Linked DNA regions of Lepisosteus oculatus. The protein of the gene in region 2 interacts with the protein of the main gene of each other region in a biochemical or structural test. Links are inferred from orthologs where the notes say so. Each region holds a gene or a part of one and is shown on either strand. Other genes may lie near its edges.

Evidence for each region.
Region 1: the proteins of pax3b (region 2) and sox10 form a complex in vitro, tested with the Homo sapiens proteins (2 studies listed by BioGRID and IntAct). The link is inferred for Lepisosteus oculatus from reciprocal best matches to the Homo sapiens genes PAX3 and SOX10.

Annotation. Positions count from the first base shown.
Region 1 is NC_090707.1:38,709,090-38,720,706, forward strand, and holds the start of sox10 (transcription factor SOX-10), read right to left. Parts: upstream 5,958-11,617; 5' UTR 5,774-5,957; intron 38-5,773; 5' UTR 1-37. UniProt on the Homo sapiens protein: Transcription factor that plays a central role in developing and mature glia.
Region 2 is NC_090708.1:7,061,090-7,072,737, reverse strand, and holds the start of pax3b (paired box protein Pax-3b), read right to left. Parts: upstream 4,832-11,648; 5' UTR 4,486-4,831; coding exon 4,401-4,485; intron 3,751-4,400; coding exon 3,515-3,750; intron 2,934-3,514; coding exon 2,804-2,933; intron 2,287-2,803; coding exon 2,143-2,286; intron 1-2,142. UniProt on the Homo sapiens protein: Transcription factor that may regulate cell proliferation, migration and apoptosis. Involved in neural development and myogenesis. Transcriptional activator of MITF, acting synergistically with SOX10.

The DNA.
Region 1 (11,617 bases), on a different chromosome or scaffold from region 2:
CCTGGCCCGCCTGCGCCGACTGCTGATCCGGTCTCACCTGGCGGAGAGAGAGACACGGGGGTCAGTGAGCACTGAACACACACACACAGGGGTCTGTGAGCACTGAACACACACACACACAGAGGGGTCAGTGAATACTGAACACACACACACAGGGGTCAGTGAATACTGAACACACACACACAGGGGTCTGTGAGCTCTGAACACACACACACACAGGGGTCAGTGAGCTCTGAACACACACACACAGGGGTCAGTGAGCTCTGAACACACACACACACAGGGGTCAGTGAGCTCTGAACACACACACACACAGGGGTCTGTGAATACAATACTGAACACACACACAGGGGTCAGTGAGCTCTGAACACACACACACAGGGGTCAGTGAGCTCTGAACACACACACACAGGGGTCTGTGAATACAATACTGAACACACACACAGGGGTCAGTGAGCTCTGAACACACACACAGGGGTCAGTGAGCTCTGAACACACACACAGGGGTCTGTGAATACAATACTGAACACACACACAGGGGTCAGTGAGCTCTGAACACACACACAGAGGTCAGTGAGCACTGAACACACACACAGGGGTCAGTGAGCACTGAACACACACACAGGGTCAGTGAGCACTGAACACACACACACAGGGGTCAGTGAGCACTGAACACACACAGGGGTCAGTGAGCACTGAACACACACACACAGGGGTCTGTGAATACTGGACACGCAAGGCTCAACTGTGTTGGGCTCTCAATAACAAGTGAAGGTTTATTCCGCGCTGACGAGAGGAGAAAAGAGACACCTGAGGGCGTCGCACCCGGAGAAGACTCCACAGCCGAAACGTTGTGTTTTTCTTCTCTTTTCAGCAGGAATAGACATCGACTTGTTCCTTTGCAGCCTGTGCATGCCGACCCAGCTCCCTACTTGGAAAAATCTTTTTTGGGGAAAAGCGGGGCCCCCTTTTCCAAAACAGCCCACCGGACACGTCCCGTCTGTGGACCGCAGGTCGCTCAGAGACTTCCGGAATTTCGGGAAGAAGACACCGGCGGTAATTATTTCCGTCTAGGCACTCTTTGTGTTAGTGACGCCCCTCCAAGCACAACAAAACAAGCCAGGTTGCTGTTTAAAAGCCCAAAATGTCCAGGTCGTGCAATCCGCAGGCAGAGTCTGCCCAGGTGCCGGACCCGTTCTGCAGGAGACAGACCGGAGGGCACTGCGCACACCGCAGCGATGGGCCGGGATTATGTCCCCGACTTGGCGTCTGTGGCTCGCAGGCGAATCGTAACCGATGTAGAAGAAACGCCGGGCGTGTTCCCCGCTTCTGCACGGAGACACGAGCGAGAATGGGGGCGGTGGGCAGCCGACAAGCCGACCGCCCGGTGAAACGGATCCTCCTCACTCGAAGCTCCGCCGTTCACATGGCCTGGCCGTGCGGGCAGGCCGCGGCCCGGGGTGTCGAGTCCCGCTCCGGCCCGCTGTCGACGGCCTCGCAGTCCTGACCAGCTCACCGGGGACTGGTGCCCAGTCCACGGGTCCGAGCCGCGGCGGACAGAGCCGGCTGTGTGTGTGTGTGTGTGCGGGGCCAGCCGCCGAGCCCGAGCTACAGGCACAGGAAGAGGAATTCGCTCCTGTTTCTCGCACAGACACGGACCCCCTCACCCAGGAGAGAGAGAGAGCAGGGATAAACGAGACGCTCAAGGTAAAATACCCCCCTTCCAGCTGTGCGGGCCGCCGCCTCGCCTCCCGAACTCTTTACAGGGCCCAAAGAAACGGGGAATGATTCTCTGCACTGCGATAATATGATTAATTTGATCAATACTACTGCATTATGAGATATTCATGATTAGTGACCAACAAAAAATGATTAATTCGTCTGTTAGAAAGATAGGACTGTTTCAATTTGAGGATCATGTGGACTTTTCTGTCCTTAATATGAAACAGACTATTTTCCTCCAACATTCTTACAGCATAAAGAACTGAAGAGACATTCAGTTCGGGTTTTTTCCCAGCGCAGTCCTCTCCTGTGCTGTTTTGACTTTTCGTTCGAGCGGCCACGGAGCGGAACACCCCCCGTGTCCCTGTGTCCCGAGGTATTTCCAGAAAGGAAGCATGTCGTGTTTGGAAGACGGCGAGACTCGCGTCAGTCCAGTTGAGGAGCTCGGACGGGTTCCGGCGACGGCTGCTCAGTTTTGCCATACTCATCACGTGGACTCCGAAACCGGATTTCGCGCCTTGGTGTCGAGCTCATCGAATGTGAAATAACGCGCCCACCTGCGACCCACGCGTGCGATTAATTCGGCTCCCTCGTCGACACTCGTCTGCACCTTGAGCTTCACGCGCAGGTCGTCCGACCCCCCCCCCCACCGGCGCGCGCACGGGTCTGTGATCTAATGGGGTCCAGGACGGGCGAGACGTGACGTCAGGTGTAAATCGGCGTCACATCAAATCCCCTTCGTGCGTCACGTAACCGGCTGTTGTGTCACACCCAGTCTGTACGGTCTGCTCTGCTCCGCCCGTCTCATCGCCTCTTCTGTGCGTGTGCGTGTGCTCTCACCTCAAGCGTGGATCGTGTCACGCACGGTTTTTCCCCGCTCCCGGCTTCGTGTTGGTGCCGGGGGCGCTACCGAGGGGTTCAGGCGGTGGACTTTGTACCCCTACTGTGTCTTGTTCTTGGGGGGGGGGGGGACCCCGTACGCGCACTGTGTGTTCTGGGGGGACGGTACCCCGCCTCTCCCCGGTAGCGCCGGGGTGTCGGAGTGAGGGATTAATTACAGCGCTGTTAATGAATGACCCTGGGGGATACACGGGAGGCTGGAGAACATCTCCGGCCAATTAGGCGTTAATGAAGACTCGCGCTGCAGTGAGCGTGACCGCACTGTCCGCGCGCCCGGCCCAGATCACACGCCACTCGAGTCCGAATATTTTTTTAGTGTCGTGTTTTTTTTTGCACAAGTGCTTGGTCTTCGCGCCTGTAGGTGCTTCTGAAAACGTCCCTTGTGCCCGAAGTATTATCACATTATTATCACGAAGTATTATTCCGACACGCACACTCCCCTGTCCTGGGTGCCGTGGGCCCTGACGAGGGTTTAACCCCACGCCGGTGTGAAGCCTGGGGTTGAACCACGGGAAAGCGAGTCCTGAACTCGGCGGGACGGTCGCGAAGGCTTGGGCGGGGCGCGGTGTCGCGGGGGCTCCGTGGGCGCCGTGAGCGGGAGGGAGCCACGGGGGAGCGCCACGCCGCGAGGAACGGGGGTCATCGCTGACCCTCGAGCCAAAAGACCCGCGAGCCCAGTTCGGAGGAGGAACTTGACCCCGGAAGTTCGAACAGCGTCGGACCGCAGCCTGCGGTCCACTGCCGAGGAGAACTAAGCGGTTCATTCGTGTGACGCTTTAGATGTCTCGGGCGTCGTTTCAAATCCCACGTCCTGCCTTCTCGGCCCCGCTCCACAGGGCGCTAATCGCGAAATTAATGATCAGCCTGAGTTCGAGGGCAATTGTCCTGCGCCGCTATGTTATTTGAAAGCAGAGCTCCGAGGAGCCGGACGGTGGCGCAGGTCCTGGGCGGGTCCGGCCTGTCGCTGTGTCCCTGGCCTGTCCCTGGCCCGGCCCTTCCCGGTCCGGAGCGCCACCGGGACCAAGCGGCTGATCCCGACTCACGGGACCGACCGGGTCTCTCCGAGCGCAGGAGCGTCCCAACAGCTCGGGAAATAAATCTACACGGAGCACGACCGCCCTCTGTAAATACGGGGGGAGGTCCCCGAGATTCAGGGTTTGAATTGGGGTACCCATAGTGCTTTTATCGTTCACTCGCAATTAGAATCACCATCAACGATGAAGATGAAACGATGATGAACTTGGCCCCCCGGTTACCTTTAATACTCGAACTTGGTTATTTTACTTTTCATTGTCGTATTAATCGAAGCACCTGTTTATAGATTATTTTTCGTTCGACCATTTTTCCTTAATCATTTACTGATTTGCGAATTAAAAGTAATAAATTTCAGGTATTCATATTGTTAGAAAACCCTTCCAGCTTCCACGCTGCTCGTGAAATGCGGTTTGGCGCTGTCCTCGTGTCGAACACTTTCAACAGGTACTGCAGGGGCGGTTATTGTCACGTAACGCTTTGACATTTTTCTGTTTTTTCTTTCTGTTGTATTCTTTTTCCTGCTGCTTATTCGTCCCCTGTGCTGCGGGAATGTCCTCTCTGTGCGTGACAAAGCAAAACCGGGCGTTTTCCGTCTGAAACCGGGGCGTCTGTCCTGCCCGCACGTCAGAGTGAAGGCTGCCCTGGCCTTGGCAGGGATTTTTAGAAATAAGCGGAGAAACTAAAATCGATGAATCCGGCTCAGTTAGGTTTGTAACTTCTGAGAATCGAGCAGTATAACTGTGTAAAAGCGCAGTGTACGTGGACAGACTGCACCTATTGAGTGTCTGTTGAGATAAATATATATAATACGTAAATCACTTTTATTTTAGATCCGTCTTGACAGAAACGAGCAGAAATTCTGTGACACTTAATTCGTGTTTATCAGTTTTAATAATAACAACCCCGGGCATAACAGGGCTGTTGTTTAAAAGTTTCACACACGGACCTGTCTGAACTTCGGAGAACTCGCAATGTAAGTATTTATTTATTTCGTAAAAAATGTCCTGTAAGTCGCCCACGCAAATACAGGCCGGGTACAATTGCAGTTAGTTTTCTCGGTCCGGGCAGACCGGAGTGTGGGGGAGAGAGGAGCCCCGTTTGTCGGAACCTTTCCTCATGCCCAGCGGACCGCAGGTGAGCCCGAGCCCCGGTCGTGAGCAAGCCCACCAGCAGTGACCACCTGTGCCCCGCTCTGCGTATCGGCCCCGGGCAGCAGGACGTGTCATTGTCACGGAAATGTGTTTCTCTGACCCAAGACACCACGACATTACTTCAGGGCTGTCACTGTTCGAGAGACTATAATAATAATAATAATAATAATAATAATATATGAATTAGAATATTATCATAATTGATAGTATGATATTAAATTAATGATATTAATGCATATTCTCCTTGTCACCATTTAGAAAGACTTTTCAACGACTGTGACAACGAGATCGAGTTGACGTTCGCCTTAACCCTTCCGACGCCACCGGACCGCTCGGACAGACGGAACCCTCCGCCGGGCCGCCGAACCGGCCCCAAAGCCCGGCCCCAGTGGGGCGGAGAGGGGGACTGGAAGGTCCGGCAGAACCGAACCGGGTACAAATAAACAGGCCCCGGGGCGAGACCCGCTGGCGTGTCGGGGTTCCGGTGACCCGAGCCCTCGGCTCAGTCAGTTCAAACCGGCCATTCACCGGGGCGCCAGCGGCACCGATCACAACATCAACACAACGACAACAACAACAACACAAACCACGACGACAACAGGACCGCCGCAGCTAACAACCACCACAACTACAACAGCAACCACAATAATAATACTAATACTAATACTAATAATACTAATAGTAATAATGCCCTTTGCACTTTTGGGTCCTGTTTGCCCTGCTTTTGCCCTCCTCTGCCAACAACATGCACGAAGCAACGTTTCCTGATATCTGTCTCGGTTTTGTGTCGTTTTTTTTCTCCCGAAAGCAGGAGGAAGCAGGAGATCGGACCCGCGGCCGGGCAGCTGGAGGTCTCCGGGGCCGGAGAGTGGCAGACAGAGACGGGCAGAGAGATGCACAGAGACACAGACACACACACACGCAGAGAGAGAGAGAGAGAGAGACCCCACCAGCGGTGCTCTTACTGTGCTGCGCGAGAAGGCTCCTCTCCGCACGAGCGCTGAGTTAGAATTTCCCGGTGACGCTCCCAGCCCCCTCGCGCCGGCTCGCTCTACCCCCAATGAATGCCGTCTCTGTGTCGCGCGCCGGCTTAAAGGGCTCCGTTGTGTGCGGAGCGAGAGGCGGGAGGGAGGGGTGAGGTGGCGGTTGGGGGGGGGGGGGAGGGCACGGGAGGGGAGGGGGGAAAAAAAGTTGAAAAGGAACCGAGGCGAAACCTTTAAAGGAACAGCGGCTGGAACGGCCCGGGCCGCCGGGCCACGCCCCCCGCCTCGCCGCGGATTGGCCGGAGCCCCGGGGGCGGGGCGGGCGGGGGCGGGGCTACGGGGAGGGGGAGGAAGGGGCGGGGCGAAAGGGCGCAGAAGTTCTGTCACCTTGTTTTTATTTTTTTCAACTTGACGAGCCCCCAAAATGTAATGTGCTGATGGTGGTTTTGCTTGGGCAAAATCTGCCTTCTTGGGAGGAAAATAAAAAAAGCCCTTCCACGCAAAAACAAAAGAGATAAACATCCTAGCGGAGCTAGGCTGTCCATGAGCACAGACAGGTTCAGTGATGACGTTTACTTGTGATCAGTGGGCAGTCAGGTGATAAAGGGCTTTCAATCAGGTTCCAGACACGTGGCATCGCTTGCTGAGGAACCACTGAAGAGACCCAATGTCTTTACTTCCTGAGTGGAGAATGGTCACCTTATCCAGCATGGGACCCTGGCTGTGATCTCCAGGCTGTAGGGGCTCATCCTGGACTGGGACCCTGGCTGTGATCTCCAGGCTGTAGGGGCTCATCCTGGACTGGGACCCTGGCTGTGATCTCCAGGCTGTAGGGGCTCATCCTGGACTGGGACCCTGGCTGTGATCTCCAGGCTGTAGGGGCCCATCCTGGACTGGGACCCTGACTGTGATCTCTGGGATGTAGGGGCTCATCCTGGACTGGGACCCTGGCTGGGATCTCCAGGAGAGAAGCACGTCCAGTGGCAGAGTAGTGCGCTGAATGAGGAGCTTGTTCGATTCGACTCACTCATTAAAAGCAAAAAAATCTCAGAATCTTCATCTACATTTTCCTGAAGTTATCAGCTCCTGTTTTGGAGAGTGTGTGACTTTTTATAGTGACTGGAAGCCAGAAACGCCGACGATCTTCTGCGGTTCCTAACGTTTCTCTCCCCAGCTCCAGCGGCAGGGGAGTTATTAATAGAGTCGCTCGTGGGAAGAGCTCAGCACAGCCCTTACGCAAGGGGGCACAGAGTGGGGCTGGAGACCCCAGTCCGACCCGCCGCCTCGGGACCCATCTGGGCCGGCAGGAGGGTCTCTCGCGAGTGCACCCTGTACACAGACACTCTGGGGGGCCCCCCAGCCCGTTGGACCCCCAGAGTAAATCCCCCTCCTTCCCCTGGCTCGCTGGAGAAGTCTGAACGTGCCAGTCGGGGATCATCGCACATCGTGCTTCCTGGGCAGCACCGCCGATCGCCCCTGTGACCCTGGTCGGGTCTGACGCTCGCTGCTGCTGAGCTGCTCCTGGTTCCTCAGGAGCCCACCGGTTCAGCGGCTCGAACGCTCCGGGTCGCCCAGCCAGCGAAGGCACTGGGCAAGGGGCTGTCCTGTGGCACGAGTGGGGGTGCGCTTGTCTGGGCACAGAGTGCCGCCGGTCAGCGAGGGCTCCCTGCTGGCTCCCGCCGGGAGGGGGCAGCAGGCGCGTCAGGGTGCACGAGGGCCACGCGGGGGGGGGACCCCAGGGTTCGGACTGGATGGCGATGGCACCACGCTCTTCGCACGGGGCGAGCAGGTTTTTCGGGCGAGCCAAGCGCACGGGCTTCGGCGACCGTCCGTGACGGACCGGGGGGTGCGGAGAGCGCAGGGGGGACATCCGGCGCTGGGCAAGACGACACCAGGCTGCGGGGCCCCCGGGGCCCGAGCTGAAGGCTCAGGATTCGAGACAGAGCCCTGAGCGGGTGCCTGTGGGTAGAGGCTCCGGGCCCGGCCGCAGTGTCTGAGATTGCTTACACTCCAGGGCTGAAGGCCGGAATTGGCAGGATGATCCGCCTCTGGTTTTCCGGGGGAGAGCCGAGACGTCGGAATGAGCTGGGGCCGGGAGGCTCGCTACTTCATCGCGGGCCGGGCCCGATTCTCCACCCTGCCGGGCCCAGCCGGGGGGCTGCGATTCTGCGCTCCTTTGAAGCTGCCAGGGGCCAGAGAGTTAATTAGCGGCGGGCCTGGGAACAGATAGCTGGCGTGTCTGATGTGTCATCCTGGAGATGATGCCCCCGGGGCGGAGGAGGGGGGGCTGGGGTAATTGGAGTGGGAGGTTAATGGCGTACAGTGCACAGAGCCCCCCAGGGCTCCTGATGGCTCAGGGTGTGATCTGACCAGGCTCTAGACCTCTGACTGCAGGACGCTCCCCTCACCTGGGTGAAGACTGGGGGACAGCCGGCAGCCCCTGTCTCCCCCAGGGGTGCACATCCCTCCTCGGAATTCCGGTGTCCTGGATCGGCTCTGCTGATGTCACTGGAGGAGATCCGCATGAATGGCCTTTCCCTTCCCTCATTCCAGGGGGCCGGAGCCACAGGCCGGCTGCTTATGGAACCGTTGTCGGAGTTCGTCCCACTAAGGATGGGTGGGGGAACAGGGGCGCTATCCCTGTCCGTGACCCGTGGGTCTGGATGCAGGAAAGGGGGACTGTCCCGAGAGGGTGGAGATCCGTGTGGCTTCCCAGGGAGAAGGAGCTCACGGAGTGGAATTTCACACTGGAGGGAGTTGAACGCTCCCTGGGCACTTCCAGGAAACAGCGGCTTGTTTTCCAGTTTTGAGTTGGTGTCCTTAAGCAGAACAGAAAGAGCTGATTTCTGTGCTCTTGTGCAACATTCTGAATCACCAGGAATGGCATTAGTCCTGGCATGTTATTAACGTGAGTGTCCTATAAGTGTTACACACTATTGTATTATTTTCACAACACTACACATTTGGTGCACTATTATACACATTGCACAGTGCTTTATGATCTGTGCAGTACTGCATGAATTGCACAAAGCAGTTTATTTTGGACAATACTTTTTAAAATGCTGTGTTTTTTGTGTAGTACTACATAAATTGAACAGTGCTGTGTATTTTGTCCTGTACCGTATAAATTGCACAATGCTGTTTAATTTGTGCAGTACTTTATAAATTGCACAGTGCTGTATAATTTGTATAGTACTGTACACATTGCACAGTGTGGTGTGTTTGGTGCAGTAGTGTATAAATTGCACAGAGTGGTGTGTTTTGTGCAGTACCGTACAAATCGCACGGTGCTGTGTGTTTTGTGCAGTACCATACAAATCGCACGGTGCTGTGTGTTGTGTGCAGAGCTGTTTGAGTTGCCCAGTGCTGTGTGTTTTGTGCAGAGCTGTATGAGTTGCCCAGTGCTGTGTGTTTTGTGCAGAGCTGTATGAGTGGCCCAGTGCTGTGTGTTTTGTGCAGAGCTGTATGAGTTGCCCAGTGCTGTGTGTTTTGTGCAGAGCTGTATGAGTTGCCCAGTGCTGTGTGTTGTGTGCAGAGCTGTATGAGTGGCCCAGTGCTGTGTGTTTTGTGCAGAGCTGTATGAGTTGCCCAGTGCTGTGTGTTTTGTGCAGAGCTGTATGAGTGGCCCAGTGCTGTGTGTTGTGTGCAGAGCTGTATGAGTGGCCCAGTGCTATTAGCCCACAGCACCTGTCAGAGTGCGGGGAGGAACGGCCTGCCTGCGTCCCAGCAGGAAACCCAGCCCCCACAGAGGAGCCACAGCACCTTCCCTGCTCCCAGAGCCGCCGGACGGACACGGCCCAGCCCGGGATGGCTCCTGGCTCTGTCCCGGGCCGGGTCTAGGCAGCGAGTGCGGTCTGAGGTCCGGATGCAGACAAACACAGGCGCTGTGCTGGTCAACAATACCTCTTATGTGCTCCCTCTCTCTCCTCCCCAGAATCCCACTTTCTGCTTGAGTGTGTGGCCTGGTGAGAGTGTCCCCTGGCCTGTGAGTGAATCTCCTCTCCCTCTCTCCTCTCTCCCCCTCTCTCTCTCTCTCTCTCCTGTCTGTACCCTCTTTGTTCGCTGCTCAGGTGAATTGACATCATGTGATCACCGCCGCTGACCCCCCCCCGCACTACCACCACCTCTTAATGAAAGGAAAAAAAAACTGGAACAAAACAAAACAGCCGTGTTGTTGAAAAGAAAGACGGGCTGGTGCTGAAGGGCTTTCTTCTGCGGCGCGCTCACAGACGCTCCCGGACGGGCGCTCGGCACGCCGGCTGAGCGCTGCGCTCTCCGGCCCCTGGGGTCCCGGCTCTGGGGGGATCTGGGCCTGGTGTGGGGGGGGGGTATGCCCTCCTGCCCCGCGGACACCTGGAGCGCCGCTGCCGCGAGACCCTGCCCGCGCCCGAGAGCGAGAGCGAGAGCGCGCCTCCGAGGGGGCGACTTCAGGTGCGCCGGGGACGAGCCGACTCCTGCGTCTTAACCAGGTGCTGTTTCACAACCGTGCATTCGGTGGTGGTGGTGGTGAAGGAGGGGGTGGGGAGGGGAGAGGGGTGAGGGGAGGGTCACTCTGTTTACCGAACTGCCCAGCCTCATGCTCGACGCTGCTGCCTGTAAACTTTTACAGCGTTTCGGAGCAAAAAAAAAAAAACCATAACAAAAACAACACAAACTGAAGCTTCGCGATGGCGACGCCGTCGGAGCGCAAATTCCTCCCGGAGGGAGAGGACGGGCGTGCGCGTGTCTGGGGAGGGGTCCCGCTGTCGATGCCCCTCGTGGCTCTCGGGGTGGCCGGGCCTCGCGGGGACGAGCAGGAGGTGGGGCGCGCGGCTCCCGTGTCTGCGGAAGCGCGAGGCGTGGACAGCTCGCCACGCCGTCGCGTTTCGGCGTCTCTCCTGTGGTTCCGCTCGGTACAGACGGTCCAGAGGCAGGGCTGACCGCGGATGACCTCCAAAGACACTCCCGAAACGAATTGTGTAAAATATTCCTCCTTTGATCCGTATTCACCCCGCGGTCTTAATTGCAGCGCTTTTCCAATTGAAATCCCAGTTTAGGCCTGTTGGGGTGTCTGTACCCCACGGGTGAGTGGGTTTCAAACTGCAACTGGGGAGTATTGTCCTTGGGGGATTCCCGGTCCCAGTCCATTAGAAACGTGAGGAGGAAAGTGTATCACCCCCCCCTACACCCCCCACTGCACGCGCACACAATGCGTGTGTCTTCCGCGTGGTGTGGCGAAACAGCCGCGCCGGCTGAAGAAGACGGGCGTGGGAGCGGTGGGTTTCGTTTGTTTTCTTCCCTGTCACGGGCAGTTCTTCAGGGGGAAAAGAGGAGTCTGCTGAACCCGACTGAAGCGTCAAGTCCGTTAGCGCCGACAATCGCGATCGAGATCGCTGTCCCCGCGTGTAGGCGCGACATTCGGTGAGACATCGAAGGTCTGAACTGAAACACCGCGGAAACGCTGTGGAACAGACCTGTCGAAAACAGCACCGGACAGGAGGTCACACACGCACAGAGATACACTGTGATACACTGTCCATCAGTCAGGGGCACAGGGGGAAATTAGTGGTCATATCCTGTGTTCAACATAAGACTTGACTTTCCAGTGCTTTGCGTGCTGACGGCGCAGGTCCAGCTGCTCTACAGGTCCGAGCGCCTCTATCAACGTTTCGATTAGATATTTGTCCTTCCCTTTCTTCCCAAAACCCGCCGTGAAAGTATTTTTTTTTTACTTTGTGCGAAGAGAAATTAAACGAATATCGTTCTCGGCGTTAAAAATAGCGGAGTCGGAAGACGACACAGTGCTCCACAGTTCGAAAAAGTGCGGCGATTCGTGGTCTTCGCTGA
Region 2 (11,648 bases):
TATTATTATTATTATTATTATTATTATAGTTGTTGTTGCTGCTGCTGTGGAGTTTTTTTAGATTCCGATATATAATCTAAAAGACTTTAGTACAGGCTACATTGTGTTTGTTACAGCCTTAGCCTTTTATTTTTGTGGGGGACACTTTCCTCAGTTCCATAATAAATCCAGTACTAGAAGGGCTTTTGGTCTCTTTGTTCATAATTTATTTTCCATTTCTCGGACCTTTGGTAGTAATAGTACCTAACATGTCTGATACAACATCTAGCATGTAGTTCATATTTCCGAATTTGTGGTTTTAGGCTATATGCATGTTCATCTCTCATTTTGCAAACATTTTCAAGAAGCGCAACAGGTCTTTATAAAAGCTGACAAATGCTGTTTCAAACATGTTAAATTAACAATGGGGTGCGCATGAAATGGGATGCTTCTGCTTCTGCTTTTTAAAGAATGGTTTCAATTGTGCCTTTGAATGGCAGTCGGCATCTTTAGACGACCTAAAAGACTCCAAAAGAAACATTTTGTAGGTGAAAACGGCCATTTTTCCACGGTGGAGAGTCCATAAAACTGCTAGGAGCTGCAGCTATTGGAGATCACTGAATAATTCATCCCTCATTGCAAGCTCATAATGTCTTTTCTCAGCCCTTTGTTGGCCTGCTTTCTCTTCTTTTCTCTCTGAATTATAAAAAGGTTGCCTTCTTTTGTACTGGCCAAGCTGCTGCGAGCCCGGGCTTTGTCACCGAAAAGCTGAAGTGTGAGTTTCAATGGACTCTCTCTCCTTTGTTTTCCAAGTTCATCTCCAAGTGTTGATTGTGTACTGAAGGCCGGCTTTGTAAAAGATGGAACAGTTGTACAAATGTTTGATCAGCTCATTTGGGACTTTTTGTCTCCTCCCTGGCCCGTTTGCAGAAATATTTAAGTACAGTAGCCGCTAAAGCCAACAACCAGAAAATTATTAGTGGGTTCAACCGACTGAATCCTTCGCGTTTTTTTTTTAACCAGAACATCCATTAGACTTTAGACTAGGCTCTGGATCGCAAATTACAAGCGCGTTCTTTTGCAGTAAGGTCGAGTCCGCGATATTTCTGATACCTTGACACTGTATCAATATGGACAAGCAGTCGATTTGATTTTTAAAGCGCCCGCCCTCGAGTTGACGACCGTTCTTTTAAAAATCCCAGCTTTTTTTGAATCATCAGATATACGAAGCATTCAAAATATACCTACATGAATACTGCCAAACGACACGAAGAAAGACAAATGAAACACTCCTTGACTTCGAACGGACGATCATTCCTAGGACTTTTTCCTAACTTTTTTTAACAACCGCAAGATAAAAAAAAATGATTGGGAGACCCACTCTTATTAAATGACACCTGATCACTCTGTAATGTACAAACCAATAAGTTAAGCAGGGAAAAAAAAACCATTATCACTGCGTTCGTTTTTTTTTTTTTGGTATCGAAAAGATATCCGAGTCTACGCAAACGAAATCGGTAAAATTAACAATTTTACTTCTGATGTTTATATAGGATGTTAGTATTGTCTCTCAGTAGTTTTTGTTTTCGTTTCGATACGCATCACACGCAGTCACTTTCTAAATGACTGCCGTGTTATCATTCCATGGCTGGTGTCCCGGCCTAACACACGCGTGAAGGCATCAACAGGTTTCGAGGCCGATAACAGTTTATCCATTACGGGAGTGCTTTGATGTCGCCTCTATCACCTCTTGTTTAAATTACTCTCAACACTTACTGAAAACATTTACCACCTGACATGACAAGCTCTCAAAACACAACGGTAGGAAACTTCCCACACACTGCACTGAAACGCAAGTGCCTTCTAATTCGATTTTGTTTCTGGGCTACATTACAATTACATTTTATTTTTAAACCCCACAAAGACATTGATAATATCGATCGTGCTCTCACGTATTACATTATTGCGCCGAATGTTAAAATATTTTTTCGAAGCATACATAAGACCTGCTTGTGACAAAATAAATATCCACAATAACTTCCTTACATTAGTATACACCAGATTAACTACTTTTATTAACAGCAGGCTAGCTACATTTACTGAGATACTACTTTAATCACTAGATATCCCTTTTTATTTCTCAAAATAAAAGACACAACTTACATCTATCTCCAAGGATCCCATCGATACTGTGTTTCGTTTTCTTTTCATTTTCTTCAAACTCTTTTCTTTCGATTTCATCATCATCGTCTTCATCTTCACCCTTGCCTCCAAATTTACTCCTCATAATTCGACTAATTGAGCTCACTTAAACAAGTAAAAAGTAACGAATTAAAATTAATAAAATATATTCCAAGCCATAATGCAATTGATTGCAATTTTATATAGAGTAAAATGTTAATTACAATAAAAATAATACATTTTCACATAAAACAATCCTACGTACATCCATACACCTAATATGCTCCTGTTTCAATATTATACAGGTGTGGAAAAAACCCCACACAGGAAAATTTAACAAAAAACAAACGGTTAAAAAAACACCTGTTATATGCGGTTTAGGAATTTTGGATTTCTATCTAGGCGTATACATATACATTTGGATTTCAAATTAAATGTAGCAAAAGTACAGTGTAAAACGGAAGTTTTCAAATGAAAAGACTTAACAACTAAATGAAAATTCGAGATACTTTTGATTTTATTTCTTGTAACTATAAATACATGTTTTGCCTTAGCAAAAAACAATATCCACTGACTGTGTGTCTATCCAAAATAACGAAACAAGAATTAAGTGAGTTTGCATTGAAAACATTTCTTGAAATACCTGAGGGGACAGTATTTCGGTCACAAATTCCATCCTTCAGTAATTTATCACGTATTTCCCAACTAAACATCCCAGGATTGTCTCTCTTATATTCCTCAATTTTCTTCTCCACGTCTGGCGTTGTCACCTGCTTTAAGTGATAAGAATTTACAATAATAACAATTCTAACAATAATGAAGAGCTATTGATTGTATCGATTGCAACACTTGTCGCGCATTGCATGGAACATTGATGTGTTCACGTGCTGATTATTAATACTTTTTAATTTATTAATTCACGCATTAATACCCTGTGGAAGAGTACACTTTGCAGAAAAAATATGATCTCTCCATTATATATGCATACAGTTTGCATCAGACAAAATAATTTCCACTCTTGATGCACTTTAAAAGAATACAAGTTTTTTTGTAGTGCATTACTTTCGGGAACACATATCAATACCGACATATATATATTATTGTAGGTATGAATTTATATTATGCATTTCCACACAAAAAAAAACTGTAAACACTGTCACATTGTGAAGTGCCATTTAGATGAGTTTTAAAACTTGAAATCATGGAGTTAGTTCGAAGACGGAAATTGATGACGTGAGATGCCTCAAACGTTGATATAACGGCGTTAACATTTTAAAGGACTCTTAAAAGAAATGTCTGGATATCACGATTTCTATATTCTGCTCTACTTAGAAAAAACGTCTTCCTGCCTCACCTTGGGCTTGCTTCCGCCGATAGCTCCGGGTCGGATAGAACCTGTCTCTTGATACCTGCATAGGATCTTTGACACACAGCCGTGGGACACTCTGAGCTGGCGTGAGATGACACAGGGCCTTATACCGTGATGAGCCATTTCCACAATTTTGTGCCTGATATGATTTGGTAAAGGTCTGCCGTTTATGAAAACTCCACCAAGCTGATTTACTCTTCCTTGACCTAAAGGGGTAGAAACTTAATAAAGAAATAAAAGTGATAACGGCTGTCAATTCTTCTAGATCGGTATAACCATTTCCATTTGTTAACATTGTTAATTTAAAACGTTACATTTTAACTGCTTTCGGTTGTTGGCTTTAGCCTATCAAGGCATGAGATCTGCTATTTCAAAAGACATTTAGAAATAAATTTGTAATACGTTTAATACGTATGGATTAAATCCGAGCCAGTATTAGTTAATTGTGGCAACACTTGCTTCTAAATTACTGATGTATAATATTTTGATTTAACATATTTGAAAACATCTCACATTTAACAAACGAACGTCCAATTTGTGGAACGAATTTAAATTGAATGGACAAAACAAGACAACATTTTTAAAACACGTGTTTTTTTGTGTGTTGTTAAAACAAATACTGTAGTATCAGAAATTGGCAGTTTTCTTAAACATAGCAATAATTTATAAGTTCTCAGAAAACGATGCATTTGTGCTGTCCACTGTGTCTTTTCTTATTGTTTTTATAACATGTGCATTGTCCTGTAACGGCATGTAATTATTAATAACAACAACAACAACAACAACAATAATAATAATAATAATAATAATAATAATAATAATAATAATAATACAGTTGGGATTCTGCAACCCTTTGAAAATGTCAATTTACCTTCAAGTGGAAATCCGCTACGCGGGTAATTCTGCCCAGGCGAGGGTCTCATCATCCTTGGCACTGCCCCAGCTATCGCTGTCATGTCTTTGCGCACTTCGATAAACTTGTGACCTTGCGTTTAAGGTGTGGAAGCAGAAAACGCAGTAATGTTTCTTTTTTCTCTCTCTCTTTAAAAAGTATCTGTAGTCCAGGCTGCAATCGTTTCGCTCTTATGAAGCTACGAGACGCTTCCTTCTGTGCCAAATGATGTAATATCCCCCCCCCCACCCCCGCACAAAAAAAACTTTGGCAAAAGTAAAAATTCCCGACAAGTTTACCAAGTGCGGTGCTCCGCGGTCCTGAAGATCTAACAGGGTTAGATCTGTCACTAGATGAAGAACTTCATATACTAGTGGCGTTGTTGTTGACACAGATCGAGGGAATGGTTCTATGGGCAATAGTGAAACATTTAATAGTTGTTGCACCCCTTGCTCCATCAGGTTTTTCTCGCCTCTGATTGGCTAAAAGAAGGAATGTCCCGGTTAGAGAAAGTGCAGCGTGATTGGTGGATGTGTCAACTTTCTTCTTCCATGACTCGGTTTCAGAGTCCTGAGCATATTGTAGTCACAGTGCAACGCATTGTCTAAGAAGGTATGTGTGAGATTCGGGTGAGAACAGATACCGATTTCGTGTTATCAAGACCGGTCTTTAATTACAGATATGATCGGGCAGCTGTGCGTTTCACACCGGACGGGCTTTGCCTCGGGTTGTCGTTATTATAAGGGCGAAGAAATCGTGCCTTCTCCCACTCCCAAGTTTTCCCCGTTTTCGAATTAGTAACGAAAAGAGCAAAAGATGCCTGCAGCTTACTCAGAATCCGCTTACAGGGGTTAGGTCTCGCAGAGGTCATAAAATAAATGTGTTGTAATTTAGAGTCTGTCTCCACTAGCGCACACACACACACACATATTCTAGCGTTTGTCCATTCTTAGGAATTTATAGTAGCATTTAGATTGCACTGGACTAGTTAAAATAAAAGAAGCGAAATGTCTGACTAGGGACTGGAGGGCCACAGCAGGATACGACGCCAGGAGTGCTGTAAAGGCTGTCTGTCCCCGAAGAAGGTGCAATTGTGGGGACCCTTTATTTATAACTTCGTAAGTGCCAGAAAACTCATCCCTTTTTACTTCGGCAGGGACGTGCCAGCCCCGTTCACCACAGTACTCATTATTTGGGGAAGCCTATTCACTTCTCTGTCAGTCAAGAAACTCGACTTATTCAGGGCCTTAATCAATCAAAGGGATGGGGCTCGTTCACCGTAGCCTGTAGCCTTTGAATTCAGCCAAACAAAGGCTTTTCGAGACGAACTATCGAATTTTCCCAAATGTTTCATCGGAGGTGTTAAAATATCCAGTTTTAGACAGCACCCCCCCCTTGTTGTTTCTGCTCTTCTGTCTTATTGGGCCTTTTTTGTTGAAGAGTCAACATCTTCGCTAGCTGATAACCTTCCCCCCCTCAATATGGTGAAAAGCAATCGTGCGTTAAATAAATGTCCAGAAGAGAACATCCAAAACGATAGGCACTATGAACCTTTTCGTGCTGGGGAAAAAAAAAACGTATCGAAAACATTAAATTCTCATTCATTCTAATGTGGTATAATTGTTCTTGCACTGAGCGCAGCGCATTTCACGGTCTGCAATAGAAGCGCGTGGAGTCTTTTTGCTAATTACAGAGCTTTGGGCGACCCAGGTGCATTTTAAATGGATTAGCAATTACACCATGGCCAAGCTGAGACTCCGACTACACGAGTGGGGATAGATTCATACAAAGGAGTAACAATGGCAATTAATATTCTATAAATTACGTTTTGAAATTAATTTGTGGAAACGTTATAACGTAAACAAAGTTTTAATAATGGATAAACGGAGACGTTAAAAAAAAAGTTAGGTTGGCCATGTGTATCCTCCTTTCAGTCGTAATAGGGTTTCTCACATTGAAACCCGAAACACGAAAAAGGTCCTGAAGTTTTCACAGATCTGAGACAGAGTGATCAGAACATTGTGAATAGATGCAGGTGATTTCCAAACATTTACTGATTATAATGGGAGTTCTGAATACCGAATATATAATTGGCATTAGTTTAATTGGAAACTACATATTTTGCTTATGGTAGTTGCCTGGGCTTCGATAATATTGAGCCTGAATTCAGTTACTGTAGATCATTTCTGACACTTAAGGATGAATTTACTTGCAATAACATATAGAGGTACTGCCCCTGCTGTGCCTATAACATATGTATATACTGTATTTGCTAAAAAGAATTTACAGGCTAGGTTTTTGCTGGGGAACACGACATTTGCAGTTAAAACGACACCAGACGGTTTTTTTTGTATAAAACGCATAACACCAGCCTTTAATTGGGCTTTCTTTGGTGCTTTGTCCACTTTATAAAAACACAGCAGGGAGAGGCACTTGTGAGCACAACCAAACACCTAAATGAAGAAAGATTAAAAGACTCTCAACCTCAGAAAGGTCAATTAACATTTTACCTTTTAAAAATGTAAAAAGATACTTCAAATGTTTTCCTTTTTGTGAACACGAGACAATGGAAGAAAGTGAGCCAATAAGCTAGAAACGGGGTTTCTGTCACGTGTTAACAAAGTAGTTCTCTCTTTACTGAGACATTTACAATTTAGCATGTAACAACTGTATTCAAATAATAATAATGAAAGTTGATTTTAAATTAACGGATTAAAAAGTGCGAAAATGTCGTTTACGTAGTTAGGACTACTTCTAGTATCTGGGAATTCGCTTATAAATTGCTGAAAAAGTAAACACTCTCAAAGTATGATTAAGACAGAAATATTAAAGTTGCAAGAAACTCTATTATAGTTTATAAACGACCCGAAACCTAATTCTAGAGATGTAACGAAATTATACATTTTAAGTTATTTTAAAGTAGACCAATTTATTCTGTGAAAACAAAATGTTCAATTTGATGAATAACATTAGAAATTAGGAGCTCCGGTGTGATTTTAAAGTGCAGATTGTCGTATTCTTTAGAAATAAAATAAGTTTTCGGCCCTTGTTTTTTTTTAAATATTTTTTTAAATCCTTGAGTCATTTCATTAAAGTAGACCTGTTATAAACACGAAAGATCCATTTCTAAAATATTCATGTTTTTTTTTGTCTTTAAAACGCCAGAAGGTCATCGGTAACATACAGTTTGCTTAAAACCTCGACTGCTAGTAAAATGCATAAAGTTCTTGTAAAACTATTATGTGTTAATTTGCAAGGGGAAAACTCTATGCGCAGCTTGCGTTTTTGTATAGATTATTAAAACTCCTTAAAATATTAGTGAAAAAAGAAAACTGAATTTGTAGTCGCAAGATATATGTTATTCAGATATTGTACTAACAGACTCGTATTATCGATAAAAAGATTATACTGAAACACAATATTACTATATTAAGAATAAAAAGTCATATGACAATCTTTTTCCTTATTTTCAAAAGTGACATTTGATCCCCATGGCTAATGGATTAACGGGAGTGATATGCTCAGTTTTCAAGGTTTGTTTTATGTACAGAAACCTAATTTCAGTATATAAAAAAAAAAACAGAAAACCCATTATCTCAACACTTGCACATAAAGACTGGTTCATCTCCATTGCACGGCTTGCCAAAATGTTCTTCTTAGTGAAGTTCAAGATGATAATCATCTCAATATATAGTGGAAAAAAAAACATTTGGTTAGTTTCAATGTCTTTGCTGTTTCAAGGACACAAGAATCGTCTTTTACAGTTTGACTTTGCCTACAGGCGAAGGTACTGTATGGGACCAATTTCACCGTTTCTGGGTCTACATTTCATCAAAACCAACTACACTATGAGCATGAATGTGTTCACTTTCTGTAGAAGTAGAATCTTCCACTGTCATTGTGTGACCGTCTATACTTTGAGAGTTTTTGGGGTCTGTTATTGTGCTTTTTAAAAAACTTCAAGCCAGACTTCAATCCGCGAGAAAGTGTACCTGAAATCTGGAATTGGTTGTGTGTATTCCATCATGCGCGTCACTTCTTCGCCGGGGATTGGGAAATAGGCTTGATTACACCCTGCGTCGGAGAAGAGCAGACTCAGACTTGGAGATCTTGAAAGATGAAAACGGATCAGGTACCAAGAGAACTGAAGTTTATTTTATTCTCTGTGAAAAAAGAACATGACTTCTGAAATCTGTCCAGTTCGAGAACTTTTCCCTCTCTACCTCTCTACACGAAGACGTTTCACCTAACGCAGGTAAAATCACGCATACGTTTTCATTGACTAAAGCATTTTTCCCATCTGTATATTAAGTACATTTTTATAATGATATGCAAGCATCTTTTTTATGTATGGTAGATAACATTGAAATAAACCAAACTTAATATGTAACCCATTTTTTATGTGAATAAAATTCATTTATTGTGTCTTTTGAGGCGAGATAACATACCTTAGGTTAAGCTACCGGTAGTCTAAATATCGACATATTATTTTCTATACAAGGTAACTTCTTAGTATTCCTGTTTGAGTATTAATTAAAACTACCACTGCTAACTTTGTCTTCAAAGGCTGACAAGAAAAAAACTATGTTCACTCGATAACTCATATAAACAAACCACTTCACAATTTTATAGACAGATCATTTTGAAATATTATCAGTCACTAAAATAACGGTATCCTTGTAGTTAATATCCTTATTGATAACATCTCTTTAAAAACACTTTAAGCACTTCAACGATTTAAAAGTGACATTTAATTAACACATTAATTATACTCTTTATTGCAACAGTGCATTCCTATATCTGCTCAGCAGTGCCTACAATTTAAAACGTATTCAATTGCACTGTCTCTTAAGTAGGTTACATTTTAAATCCACATCTAGCATTTGCTTTTCGGCGTCTTGTTGCTTTAAATAAATATGCACTGAATTTGTCTCATTTTTGTTGTTAGTGAATTTGTTTTTTCTTATGAATTTCTATTTAGTCACATACAGTATAGTTTTTATGTTTGAACGGTAAAAACCCCAGCTTCTCTGAACTGCACAATATTTCTTCTCTAAAATGTGTAAAACCGTAGTAATTGAAATCCACCAAGCTCATTAAAGGGTAGCCTATTGCGTTAGTGCTTCGTATATTAGGCCTCTCCTGCCCCAACGCAAAAAAAAAAATGTTCAGTTTCACGTCATACACACAAAGAAGTATACCTAGCGATGCGTACGTGTAAACGAGTATTATTTAAAATTCAGCACGTTTTATACTTATATCCCGTGAGCAGAGTTAAAAGACATTAGCAACACACTTCCTATCTCCTCAACATCCTCTGCCATGAGCCAGCGTCTGTTAAAGAGCGTCTAGTCCAGTGCAGCATATACAAGGATGACATAGTTATTCACACTTAACCGATTCTGTTTAAATCTCATGTCCCCGGGCAGTTCATACGCCCTACGGTCATTTCCACGCGATTCATCTGGATATATATTTCATCCCAACCAGCCTGGGATTAACAGGCTCCTTAAGTGATTCAAACTCAGTGGTTTTATTTTAACTTGGGGTGAGGGAAGATAAAAATGACATCCTCAGGCATCTCGTGTCTTCAATGCCTGGTGTGCTGAGTTGATTACACAGCCTCTGCCACCCCCCAGACTCGCACTACTCTCCCCTTATTCACGACCGAAAATGCTGTTTTTGATCCTTTTTCCTTCTGACCAGCAAAAAATGAGATTTTTTTCAAAAATCTTTCTCTCCCCCCGCGATGACAGTTTTTCGAGGTGATCGCCTCAGTCAGCCTGGAATTTCCAATGCAGGTTTCAGCTGAAATCACAGTAGTTTGATGTTTTAGTTCCCCTGCACTCGTTCTATGTCATAAACCCATAGGATGACTATATTAAAAAAAAAAAACAGATTAGGCATTGTCCATTACATTAGATCGGGAATAGTCAGTGACAGTCCTCGATGTCCAGAGTCAATTTTGAACCTAACACTTTAAATTCTAATTAATAGCTCAAACTGCTAAGAAGTCAAATCACCTGTTTGTTGATCAGTTGCTAATTAACCATCCCTCAAAAACCTGTAAAGACAGAATTGATTGTCCTGGCCCTCGACTTTGAACTGCTTTGCAGGCTTGAGTCTTTGTTCAAGCCCAAACTATATAAGCGGTGTATCTTTTTTTTTTACTAGTAGCCAGATCTATCCCGTTGTATTCCATTGGACAAGAGTCTGTTCATAATTTAATTCAAAACAAATTCTTAATTTAAACTAGATTTTAAAAAATGGTATGGTTTTGTCTCCAGGAAGTACAGAAGAATGTGGAGGAATCCATAGGTTAGTTAGTGCGTGTGTAGGTTTTCTTCTCTCATAACTTTGTTGTGTCTTGTTTTTTGTTAAAGATATTTTGCTTTTTAGACACACTTGACCTGCAGTTCAAATGTTGTTCACGTGTTTACACTACCAACTGCTGCAGACTGCATTATATATGAAGTAGTGAAATATTTTTATGGAAAGCAGACAAAGCCATATTTATATGGATGACTTGTAAAACTACATCCATAATATAACAAATGTCAATGTAAATTTTAACTTTGGTAGTCTATGGTAGTAAATTACAGCACTCATTTTAATAAGCACTTCAAAACCTTCTATGTCAAGTTTTATGCACTGAGGAAATATATGTTGATGTTTTCATTTAGCATTTAGGTTTTGACATTTAAAATAAAACTTTCTATGATGGGTTTAGATTAGACAGTATTGCATACCAATTGGACTAACAATATTTCTGTTATTTTAATTCGTATGCTATACTTAATATGTTTTTGGCAATGTGGACTGTCCTGGTTTTACCTCTTAAATGTCATGTATAGAAGATGATATCAGCAAGAATTATGATTTTGCATTTTACAATTCAAACTTATGAAACCCTGTGGTTTGAGTTTTATAATTCCCTGGCTCACCAGTCATTCCAAAGAATAAACATTTATTTTCTTTGCATGTCCTGTGTAGCGCTACCATTAGTATTTATGACAAAGAAATATTTATAGCTGTAAAGCAAGAAGTATCTCTTGAATAAACTGAAATGTTGTGGACAGAAAAATCTGTCTTTGATACAACTAGCTCATGAAAAGCCTTGCACAACTGGCTATTTTCAGATACTTAAGTAATTTTCAGAGTAATGTTGAGGTACTTTATTGTAAATATAATATTATTTTGTTTATTATAGCATGCTATTAGAATTTG